4 linked regions of the Saccharomyces cerevisiae S288C genome follow. Changing the gene in region 1 together with any one later gene gives a genetic interaction. Each region holds a gene or a part of one and is shown in the gene's direction. Other genes may lie near its edges.

What was found.
Region 2: mutations in CWC21 (region 1) and ISY1 together harm fitness more than expected from each alone (negative genetic interaction), as found in Saccharomyces cerevisiae (6 studies listed by BioGRID, with this or other methods).
Region 3: mutations in CWC21 (region 1) and TGS1 together harm fitness more than expected from each alone (negative genetic interaction), as found in Saccharomyces cerevisiae (4 studies listed by BioGRID, with this or other methods).
Region 4: mutations in CWC21 (region 1) and IST3 together harm fitness more than expected from each alone (negative genetic interaction), as found in Saccharomyces cerevisiae (5 studies listed by BioGRID, with this or other methods).

Annotation. Positions count from the first base shown.
Region 1 is NC_001136.10:1,419,925-1,422,848, reverse strand, and holds CWC21 (U2-type spliceosomal complex subunit CWC21), read left to right. Parts: upstream 1-2,010; coding exon 2,011-2,418; downstream 2,419-2,924. Other genes in the region: VPS52 (Vps52p), read right to left, coding at 1-86; alpha-1,2-mannosyltransferase KRE2, read right to left, coding at 364-1,692; alkaline phosphatase PHO8, read left to right, coding at 2,599-2,924. UniProt on the Saccharomyces cerevisiae protein: Involved in pre-mRNA splicing. May function at or prior to the first catalytic step of splicing at the catalytic center of the spliceosome, together with ISY1. May do so by stabilizing the catalytic center or the position of the RNA substrate.
Region 2 is NC_001142.9:526,935-529,925, forward strand, and holds ISY1 (Isy1p), read left to right. Parts: upstream 1-1,762; coding exon 1,763-2,470; downstream 2,471-2,991. Other genes in the region: UTR1 (NADH/NAD(+) kinase), read right to left, coding at 1-1,542; OSM1 (fumarate reductase), read left to right, coding at 2,927-2,991. UniProt on the Saccharomyces cerevisiae protein: Involved in pre-mRNA splicing and cell cycle control.
Region 3 is NC_001148.4:253,074-256,279, forward strand, and holds TGS1 (RNA methyltransferase), read left to right. Parts: upstream 1-1,740; coding exon 1,741-2,688; downstream 2,689-3,206. Other genes in the region: AIM44 (Aim44p), read right to left, coding at 1-1,237; pheromone-regulated protein PRM4, read right to left, coding at 2,840-3,206. UniProt on the Saccharomyces cerevisiae protein: Catalyzes the two serial methylation steps for the conversion of the 7-monomethylguanosine (m(7)G) caps of snRNAs and snoRNAs to a 2,2,7-trimethylguanosine (m(2,2,7)G) cap structure.
Region 4 is NC_001141.2:362,918-365,836, forward strand, and holds IST3 (U2 snRNP complex subunit IST3), read left to right. Parts: upstream 1-1,971; coding exon 1,972-2,418; downstream 2,419-2,919. Other genes in the region: AIM21 (Aim21p), read left to right, coding at 1-7; DJP1 (Djp1p), read left to right, coding at 304-1,602; actin cytoskeleton-regulatory complex protein PAN1, read right to left, coding at 2,549-2,919. UniProt on the Saccharomyces cerevisiae protein: Required for pre-mRNA splicing and spliceosome assembly. As part of the pre-mRNA retention and splicing (RES) complex, required for nuclear pre-mRNA retention and efficient splicing. Required for MER1-activated splicing.

The DNA of each region.
Region 1 (2,924 bases):
GTTTCATTTGTTTTATCTCGGCTCGTTTCCTTCAGCTGGTCAAATTTATCTTGGTCTAGTGACAACACCTCTTTGAGAACATCCATAGTTCTATGTCTTCAGCTAATTTTTTTACGCTTTTGTTGCTTATAGCTTATTCCTCTTTCCTCTCACTTGTAAAAACTCTTGATATACCTTATATTTTTTCGAACTATTCTCGGAATACGCTAATGAGAATAAAAATATTCGAATCTTTAAAAAAAATGTGGATTGCCTCACTTATATGTTTGATACGCAGTCCTATGTGTACTTAACCAGTTATAAAAATAAAATATAAATAGAAAGTATAAAGTCAAAACAAAGAAACAGTATGTTCCAAGATTTCTACTCACGGAATTTTTTCCAGTTTTTTGGCTTTACCAACCCTTGAGCATCATAATATTCCTTACCACAAGAGTAACCTTGGAAAGTGAAATCATTACCTTGGTCACATTCACAGTTGTTACTGTTATAGACCTCCTTGTCCAATGGGCAGTTATCATAAGGTGGATGATGGTAACCAATGTCTGAAAAATAATGGATTTTATCCTTTGGCAAAAACAAAGCAGCAGCAATAGAATGAACGGGAGCATCGCCCCATCTTTCGTAGAAAAATCCACCTTGATGATCCAAAGTGTCAAAATACTCTCTGTAGGCTGGTGACCTCCACAAATTCAAGTTTGCAATTTCAAAGTTTGACCAGAAATGGCACAGATTGTATGTTTTACCATTATCGTTCGAAAGAAAACTCATCAGGTTGTTTTCATCTAAGTATTCGGGGTTCTTTTTGATGAAATCCATGGACGTTTGCCATAGTGTTGGGATCGTCACTTCATATTCATGAATAGAAACGGTAAAGCCGTAAACTTTTTCGTTTTCTTGCATCCACTTAAAAACGTCGTAATTAATATCACAGTATAACTTGATGTCTGGTTCCACACGCCAGTACCAATCGTACTCTTCTAATAATTCATGTCTCCAGAAAAACCCAGATTGGTAACGACACATGTGTCTATAAGATTCGGAGCCACCGTATATGTATTTGGTGGCAGCATCTGCACGAATTTCAGCAGCCTTGGTTTGATTAATCCATTCAGGATATGACCAATGTTCCTTGGGCAAAATACCAAACTTAACTTCGGAAGAAACAGCTTTGGTGACTGCTTCCTTGAATTCTTCAGTAAAAGGTTCATCGTTTAGGAAAACCCAAGGATATGGGAATTTCTTGTTAATTTTGTTTTCCACATATTTAATGGAGCTTAGCAAACCTTTCAACTCCTTGTTTCTCACCAAAGTGACGTAACAAGCTTTTGGCTTACCAGCTTTGTTAGCAAAAGATGGAGTGATATAATCCATGGTTGTTTTAGTGTCGATCGGGGCATCTGCCTTTTCAGCGGCAGCTTTCAGAGCCTTGGATTCTTCATCCATGGCTTCGGAGTCTTCGCTTGCCTCTGAATTCAGAGCACTTTGCTCTAATTTTTTAGCATCATTTTCCTCAGAGATGACTTGTTGTTCAGGGGATATAGATCCTGAGGTAAAATCAAATGCAGCGGAGATGGAACTCGGAATATATTGCTGAGTTCTACTGTTGGAATTCAATGTTAGGAGGAGAACAATAACCGCACCTGCAATGACGGTAAATCTCAACAGTCTCTTACTGAGAAAGAGGGCCATGCTTTCGAGTGGAACTGCTTGCGAATATGGATATCACTTCCAGTATTATAGATTCATAAAATGTATAAACGAATTAAATCGCAAATTATCTCCTTTTCAGACTGTTTCTTCACCAAATTTCTTTTTTTTTTCCTACTAGAAGAAGGCGTAGCAGATAAGAAGGAAAAATTATATTAAGCGTGCGGGTAAAGGCAAGGAAGAATCAAGTAAGACCTCAAGAATGGCACTATAAGTGTGGTATTATAATCTGTGTAATCCTAATTTGAGCTCTACACAATACCATTCGACGGTTAACAGCTACTGCATCACCGTCCAGTCATGTCGTACAACGGAATAGGGCTCAAGTCGGCAAAAGGGTCATCTACGTCGGGCCACGTGCAGCGATCACTTGCTAGCAACAATAGGCGCAGACCACAGGGTAGTCAACAGCAGCGGCAACAACGACAAAATGCGATCAAAAAGGCCAGCCATGACAAGGCAAGCAGGCCTCTTGCTGTGCAGAAACAGATAGAGACTCATATGGAGAAACGTGAGATTGAAGTACAAGTTAGCGAGCTACGGGACCGACTGGAGGAGGAAGAAACGCTCTCGGAAGAGCAGATTGACAAGAAATGTGAAGCGTTGAGGGCAAAACTGACGAACGAGTGGCAAGAACAGCAGCGGATGTCCTCTTTGTACACCCCTCGTAAGGCGCGTCTAACGGAAGAGCAGCATCGACATGAATAGCAGCATTGACGATAGCGATAAGCTTCGCGCGTAGAGGAAAAGTAAAGGGATTTTAGTATATAAAGAAAGAAGTGTATCTAAACGTTTATATTTTTTCGTGCTCCACATTTTGCCAGCAAGTGGCTACATAAACATTTACATATCAGCATACGGGACATTATTTGAACGCGCATTAGCAGCATGATGACTCACACATTACCAAGCGAACAGACACGTCTTGTTCCTGGATCTGACTCGAGCTCTCGTCCTAAAAAGAGACGGATCTCGAAGAGATCAAAGATAATAGTATCCACTGTGGTCTGTATTGGTTTGTTGCTGGTTTTAGTGCAACTGGCATTTCCAAGCAGTTTTGCATTACGTTCTGCATCACACAAGAAGAAGAATGTCATATTCTTCGTGACGGATGGGATGGGACCTGCGTCTTTGTCCATGGCAAGATCATTCAACCAGCATGTTAATGATTTACCTATAGACGACATCCTGACACTTGACGAGCATTTTATCGG
Region 2 (2,991 bases), on another chromosome or scaffold:
TTTGCAAGCTTCGCAGTTTACACTCTCATCGTCGCTCTCATCATCGCTTCCGTTGTTGTTTTCCTTAGTAGCGTCTGCTTCCAGAGAGTATTTATCTCTTATTACCTCTAAAGGTTCTGCTTGATTTCTGACTTTGTTCGCCTCATGTGCATATTTTTCTTGGTTCTTTTGGGACAAAATATGCGTAAAGGACTTTTGTTGTTCCCTCACATTCCAGTTTAGTTGTCGACTGATACTGTTAATAAACTCATCGGGCGAGGCTTCCACGGTTGGAAAAGCATATGGGCTGGCGCATATGGTTATAAAATCACCTTTTTGCAATTCAATTCTATCTTTCCCATCAAAAGCCGCCCATGCTGGAGCCCTTGACTTCATCGAGACTTTCACTTTTAAATTTATACTTTCTGGTAAGATGATGGGTCTGAAACTCAATGCATGTGGACAAATGGGTGTTAAAGCGATTGCATTGACGGTTGGGCATACCAATGACCCACCTGCACTCAAAGAATAGGCCGTGGACCCAGTCGGAGTAGCAGCAATCAGTCCGTCCGCCTGCGCAACGGTCATTAATGAGCCGTCACCATACAATTCTAACATGGATAGAAAAGGACTTGGACCACGATCGATGGTCACTTCGTTCAAAATGTGGTGTGTGCTTAGTTTTTCCACCACACATATTTTCTTCCCCGTGTTTGGGTCTACTTCAGGGCGGTGTCTACGATAAATTGTGCACTCCAACCTCAACCGTAAATTTGTCTTGATTTTATGATTCATAATCCGAGGTAAATCCTCCCTGAAATGTTCAAACTTAAAATTTGTTAAAAATCCTAGAGACCCTAATGAAAACGACATAACGGGTGGTACATGTCTCTGAAAAATGGAACTTACAAAAAGAACAGTACCGTCGCCACCCAAAGTCACTACCAAATCGAAGAAAACATCATGTTCCCTGATGAAATCCTTTGTCCAATACTTGATCCTTGATTCTCTACATTTACTATCTTCACATAACTCGCCAGCGGCAAATTTTTTGCTGTTTTTCAATTCGGAATCCACATAAACAGTCACACGTGGAAAATGTACCAAAACCCATTCTACCAACTCTCTTGTTAAGAAATACAGTGAGACATCGTTGAGTTTCGTAACAATCATCAAATTTTCCACATCCAGTTCCACTTTGGTATTAGATATATCTTTACTCAACATTCTTACACCATACGCCGTGGAGGCATACTGAAAGTGTGTATTACTACTCTTAGAACTTCCTCTTGTTCCGTTAATGCTCGTACCACCGCCACTGTTTGCATTGCCGTTCACGAGAGATGAATCTTTATTCAACAGGGAGCTTCTGCGCGAGCTGCTTTCACTTGATATTTTCCTCAACATTTCTTTGGCGTTGTCGATATCCTGAGTTCTATCAATTTGCTCATTGTTCATCATGGCCTTCTTCATCAAGTTATTATTGTTGTTATGATGATCATTTCGACCATCTTCCTCATTTACCCATTTATCTACGCCATTATTCATGTCATTCTCCTTCATCTCAAGAGCTTTTACTCTACTTATTTAGGGAGCCTATTGTATTTTTTTTTGGCTTACGATCACGATGTCAATGATCATTTGCCCTATTATACCTTTTTCTCCGTTCTCTTTGCGTAGTGCGGTGAAATAATTTCAGGATGCATGAAAGAGCAAATAAAAGTGACACACCGTTATATCGCAAGGCGCACCACATCAGTAATCAGATACCTGTGCATTCAAAATGAGTAGAAATGTAGATAAGGCCAACTCAGTTCTGGTACGATTTCAAGAGCAGCAAGCAGAGTCGGCAGGTGGATACAAGGATTATTCACGTTACCAGAGGCCCAGGAACGTGTCTAAGGTAAAATCCATAAAAGAGGCCAACGAATGGAAGCGACAAGTAAGTAAAGAGATAAAACAAAAAAGCACAAGAATATATGATCCGTCTTTAAATGAAATGCAGATTGCGGAACTTAACGACGAACTTAATAATCTTTTCAAAGAATGGAAGAGATGGCAGTGGCACATTGACCATACACTTATGGAAAAAAAAACCAAGAGGAAAAGGTTAGAAGACAGTCATGTGCTGATGAATTCAGGAAAGCTGATAAATGGTAAGAGATATTTTGGAAGAGCCCTGGAATTGCCTGAAGTAAAAGAATGGCTCAAGCAGTCTCAAAGGCAGAATGATGGGGGTTCTATAAACACCAAATGCATACCGAAGGATAGAAATGATTTTTATTACCATGGCAAAGTCACAGCCGCCTTAACCGAATTTGAGGCTAACTGGACATCCATTTTGAAAGCACATTATAATGTGCCTGTGAATGAAGATGAAGAAGAAATGTCAAGGCAGACACAAGAAATCCATGTACCAACTCTGGCAGATATGGAGCATTGGTTAGTGCAAAGAAGAAAAAAGAAACTAATGGATGAACTTAACCTTTAGCTATGGAAAATTATTCAAACATTTAGAAGAGGCACTATTTCGAATGACCATCACAAGCATTATAATCTTCAAACATGTCCGAGCTGCAGATATGAAGTAAAATAGTGATCGGGACTCATTTTTTTTTCTTCTATGATATCATATTGTCCCGTTCGTTATTAAATGTAATTCTTCCACCGTACTAGTTATCGAAGGCAAGATCTCCTTTTTACGCTTAGGTAGATTACATAGATTTCATAATGTACACCAATACAAATGTATCTTATACACTCGTCAAATCTTATATGAATCATGCAGGAGTAGCTCTCGTTTTCTTTTTACGAGCTACTTGAAAAAAAAAAACTAGCGAAAATCCTTTGCTTAGAAATCCAGATTTAAAACAAAACCGCCGAAAAGGGAAAGATTTTATGATAGGAAATACCTTAATAATTCTATATCATCCCGAGTCTTAGGAAAATGATTAGATCTGTGAGAAGGGTTTTCATTTACGTCTCAATATTCGTATTGATAATAGTTTTGAA
Region 3 (3,206 bases), on another chromosome or scaffold:
TATAGCTTACCAAAGGGCTCCTTGGGGTGTTTGATCCAACTTTGGAATCTTCAGATTGGGGATGGTTTGCTTTAAATTTCGTATCAACTGTCAAAGGTTTAGTCTTTTTTTGTGGAGCCAATACAGGTACTAAAGATTTTGATGAGATCGACCGTTGTAAATTAGAGACGTATCTCTGCGATTTTTTTTGACGCGGAGTAGAGTTGCTGTTTTTGTTGACTAGGTTCGTCCCTCTTTTTTTTGACTTGTTGTTAATGTTTGCTTTAGATTTAGTGGTTTTGGAATTCGTGGCGGAGGGGACCTTTTGAACATTATATGAAAACAGTCTTCTTCTTAAAACTAGCCGTAATTTCCGTAACTTTTTCTTTATCTTGATTCCCAATGAGGTGAAATAATATAAGAGTCCGCCCTTACATCTAATAGCTTTTGATCGTTTTAGAGAACAACGACTGCTACTTGATTTACTGCTGACACTTGAACTATACCTGGAATTGGAAAACCTCGAGGATTCAACTCGTCTTATGGTCGGAACTCTGTTTAGCTTTTTTTTAGGTTTCGGTACTACGCTATTGTTTAATTCGATAGTTTTTATATCCTTTTCCATATTTAATTTGGTCATCGGTTTGGCTTCTTGGGTCGACGGCAGAATGGCGCTTTTAGATGTCGATTTCCTTGGTAATAACGATGATGCTGATGACGGCGCGATATCGTAGGAAACATTATCTGCTGTTGGGATAGTCTGGAATGCCGTTGAGATTGAGCCAGTTATGTTTCCCTCTGGAATAGCTTCCATTGAATGTAACTGGTTTTTAACTACATTTGAGCTGCTATAATGAAGAGAGTCATTTCCTGGGAAGTCATGAGAAGCAAAAAAGTCACTTTTGTTCGAGTCTGAGGAAGTTAATCTAGCGGTTTCATTTTGATTGATTACAATACGTGGTGAAGACGTAGTATTGTCAGAAATGTTAGCAAATGAATAGTATCCATTTGATGAATAACCGGAATTTGTATTTGTATTGGAAGTGGATGTATAGTCTGATAATGTTTGAGAGTTTCCGTCTTCATCGCGAGAAACTCCATTTTCTGCTGCAAACACATCATTTAAAAGATGATGATTATTCAAATGGTACTCTTCTAGCGTTCCTCTTGGTAAACTTTCGTTAGACGGGAATTTAAAATCCATTTGATCGCCTCTAAACGACTTGGTTTTTGTCCTTATTGGAGCTCTGATGATCATTCCGTATGATATATTTGTTGTGATAATAAGCCAAATTTATTTGAGCACTATTGTTAAGTTAATTGTTCTTGTTTTACTTGTTAAGCCGTTAAGTTGTCAACCGAATTATCAAGCACTTAAATCTATATATACAACATATTTGTACAAGAATTGATGACCTGCTGAAAGCCCAGCAATCTGGTTATCCCAGTTGAACATGTTTAAGGATAGGCATATCGACTTCTTTATCTTACTAACCGAAATATTGAATTGCCTGTGTAATGAATGGCTGGAGCAGCCTTTTTTTTATCTTCGCCAGCCATCGCTTTTTTTGAATATTTTCCACATGAAAACAATGTATGAAAAATTCTAAGGCATCGCACCAAACTATATGAAGGGGAAGTGAGTTATTCCGCAAACAGCGAGTAAGTTTTTCGTTGTATTGATTGCCCATATTATATACCGTGTTGTGGGGGCAACAGACAGAAGTAGAAGAAAAAATTTTTGTTGATTTAACTGAAGTGATGGGAAGGACATTTATTCATGCTTCGAAAATAAAACATGCGGCACGCAAAAGAAAACATCATTCCAACTTTAGAACTCTGATCAAATTATTGAACAATGATGCCTATAAGATAGAATCATCAAAACCGTTGAAAAATGGTAAACTTTTCAAATACTGGAAAAATAGGCGTAGATTGTTTTCAAAGATAGATTCGGCGTCGATATATATGACTGATGAGCTGTGGTTCAGTGTGACGCCCGAAAGAATTGCCTGCTTCCTGGCAAATTTTGTTAAGGCATGCATGCCAAATGCCGAAAGAATACTGGATGTTTTCTGTGGTGGGGGCGGGAACACCATACAATTTGCCATGCAATTTCCTTACGTCTATGGAGTGGACTACAGTATTGAACACATATATTGTACTGCGAAAAACGCCCAAAGCTACGGTGTGGACGACAGAATATGGCTGAAGCGGGGATCCTGGAAAAAGCTAGTCTCTAAGCAGAAACTTTCCAAAATAAAGTACGACTGTGTATTTGGATCACCCCCGTGGGGTGGTCCAGAATACTTAAGAAACGATGTGTATGACTTAGAGCAACATCTAAAGCCTATGGGGATTACCAAGATGTTGAAAAGTTTTCTTAAACTAAGCCCTAATGTGATTATGTTTTTGCCAAGGAACTCTGATTTGAACCAGCTTTCTCGAGCTACGAGGAAAGTACTAGGTCCATTTGCCAAATGTAAAGTATTATATGTAAAGGAGAATGGATATATGAAAGGAATATTTTGCATGTGGGGGGAATGCTTTTTTAACTACGAACCAGCAAGTACGGAGAATAGTCGAAGGGAGTCGTCCGAAAAGGAAGAGCTGAGTTCTGAAAACGAAGAGCTCTCGAAAAGAAAAAAGCATGAATCCACAACAACGACCAAAGATAATACTGTAGACATTTACGACGTAAATGGTTAAACACTTGTTCAAGTTGAATCGTATGATAGAAAATGCAATGACTATGTTATGAATGTATATATAGCACATAAAGAGGATCGCTTACGTGAATTTGGGAATAATTAAAACGTTCTTTTAGCTGCGGCTGCTCGTCGATAGGAGTGATAACAAATTAAGAATTAGAAGGGATGTCTTTTTTTTCTACCAGCAAGTTGCCACGCGCTTCAGACTTTAGAAGAGGTAGTAGCAATCCCTTCGAATGAGGTTCGATTATATCTCTCACCATTCCACGATTTATCACGGAAATACCATTCAAAAATAAATAAGGCGACTGAATGGATTCCAAGGCAGCACTAGTATCGATATTTAGTTTATTTTGTTTGATATACTTTTCTAATTCATAGCCATGAGAGTGTTTTTCCAAATCAACAGTGGCCAATTCGGGTGAAATCTCAAATTCTCTTTGTAATAGATTTTTTAAGAAAATGGAGTCTGCTTGTGATGATTTAATGAATAATACCGCTGGAGAGGTTCTTATT
Region 4 (2,919 bases), on another chromosome or scaffold:
CCTTTAGAATCTTATAAATAATATGTATGAATAAACTCTATAGTATGTATCAAGAGAGAAATATGTGAATGACGAGCAAACTAGAGGTGTTATTAATAATAATGGCATAAAAACTAGATTTTATTCTATATATATATATATATATTTCTTCGACTTTTTTTTTTTTTACCCGCACACCCTGAATTTTGTGCTATTTTGAAGCAGAGCGTACTGAACAAATTGGCAGATTTACAAGAGGAATAACAGAGTTATGCTAAATCATTAAGTGTTTCTTGCGGCCAGAAGGGGCATTATACAAAAGATATGGTTGTTGATACTGAGTATTACGATTTGTTAGGTGTGTCTACCACTGCATCTTCCATTGAAATAAAAAAGGCCTATAGAAAGAAATCTATTCAAGAGCATCCTGATAAGAATCCCAATGACCCCACGGCTACCGAAAGGTTTCAAGCAATATCCGAAGCTTATCAAGTTTTAGGTGACGATGATCTTCGCGCAAAGTATGATAAGTATGGAAGAAAAGAAGCTATTCCTCAGGGCGGCTTTGAAGATGCAGCTGAACAGTTCTCTGTCATCTTTGGTGGAGATGCGTTTGCCTCATATATTGGCGAACTGATGCTATTAAAGAACCTACAGAAAACTGAGGAGCTAAATGCTGAAGACGAAGCTGAAAAGGAGAAGGAGAATGTGGAAACAATGGAAGAATCACCTGCAGACGGTAAGACGAATGGCACCACTAACGCTGTTGATGCAGCATTGGGCAATACTAACGAAAAAGATGACAAAAATAAGGCGAGGACAACTTCTGGTAATTTAACTGTACACGATGGAAACAAGAAAAATGAGCAGGTAGGAGCAGAAGCTAAGAAGAAGAAGACAAAATTAGAGCAGTTTGAGGAAGAACAAGAGGTAGAAAAGCAAAAAAGAGTAGACCAATTAAGCAAAACATTGATTGAAAGATTATCGATATTAACAGAAAGTGTCTATGATGATGCATGTAAAGATTCCTTTAAAAAAAAGTTCGAAGAGGAAGCCAATCTTTTAAAGATGGAATCATTTGGTCTGGACATATTACACACAATAGGCGACGTTTACTACGAAAAAGCTGAAATTTTTCTTGCATCCCAGAACCTGTTCGGAATGGGTGGTATATTTCATTCTATGAAGGCTAAAGGGGGAGTATTTATGGATACACTAAGAACTGTTTCGGCAGCCATAGACGCTCAGAATACTATGAAGGAGCTTGAAAAAATGAAAGAAGCTAGCACGAATAATGAGCCTTTGTTTGACAAAGACGGAAATGAGCAAATTAAGCCAACCACTGAGGAACTGGCGCAGCAAGAGCAGCTATTGATGGGCAAAGTATTGTCGGCTGCTTGGCATGGTTCTAAATATGAAATAACATCCACTTTACGTGGCGTTTGTAAAAAAGTACTAGAAGATGACTCGGTAAGTAAGAAAACGCTTATCAGAAGAGCTGAAGCAATGAAACTATTGGGTGAAGTCTTTAAGAAAACTTTCAGAACCAAAGTCGAACAAGAAGAGGCACAGATCTTTGAAGAACTTGTAGCAGAAGCTACAAAAAAGAAGAGACATACATGAAGTTAGCAATCATCTCTTGTATATTAAAAATTCAAAAATTCACTTTTTTTTATTATCTGTATTCAATATAATATAATGTATATAAGATCACACTAATACTGATAATTCTATTCTTGAAAGAAAGACAATAGAACAATAAAGAAGTGATTGAACTCAGTGACAATGATAATTTATGTGATAAGGAAGTGGTTATGGCTGGAGAATTATGCCACACTTAAATGATAAGCTCTTTTACCTTTCTGGGTTTAGGAATTTTTTGAGATTAATACAGATAAAAAAAAATAGGCCGAACATTAATTACTCATACAACTCAAAAAGTGCAGCGTGCAATTCTAGATCAAGAACATAGATAATATAAACAAAATAACAATGAACAAAATTCAGCAAATCAACGATAAAGAACTACAAAGTGGAATTCTTAGCCCGCATCAATCATGGCATAATGAATATAAGGATAATGCTTATATATATATCGGAAATCTCAACCGAGAATTAACAGAAGGTGACATATTGACAGTCTTTTCTGAATATGGAGTCCCTGTAGATGTAATTCTTAGCAGGGATGAAAACACAGGAGAATCGCAAGGTTTTGCATATTTGAAATATGAGGATCAACGGTCAACGATTCTAGCAGTCGATAATTTAAATGGATTTAAAATTGGCGGTAGAGCCCTCAAAATTGATCATACTTTTTATAGGCCAAAAAGGAGTTTACAAAAATACTATGAAGCTGTAAAGGAAGAATTGGATCGAGATATAGTTTCGAAGAACAATGCTGAGAAACTCATTTTGGCTAAAAAGGACCAACCAAATTAAATAATTTTTTCTTTCATCGCATATCTTATATTCATATAGCCTAGAAAAAAATAATCAATATCATATTTGTAATTCTACATCCTTTCAGAAATTAGTATACATACGTATCTATAGAAAGCAAATTAAATCTTCATGGAAGGGGTGGGGGTGGAGGAATACCTGCAGGTGGAATTGATGGGATACCTGCAGTAGAAACTGGTTGTGCCCCTTCTTCCTCTTCATCTGTACCAACTGATTCAGGAATCGATAAAACGTCATCATCAGAATCGGATCCATATGCGCCCGTGCCTTTTTCAGCACCATTGTAGTTATCAACGTGAGCGATAATAGGTTCTGAAGTGGAAGCTTGTTGAGTTGGTAAAGGTGGGGGTGGAGGCAAAACGCCTCCAGCTAAAGCTGGGGTGGAAGAACCCGATTTTTGCACGGCAGTAGCTATTGCAGGTGCTGAGGGAATTGGAGGTTCTTGAAAGCCATCAACAGCAGGCAAAGGGGGAGCCAACG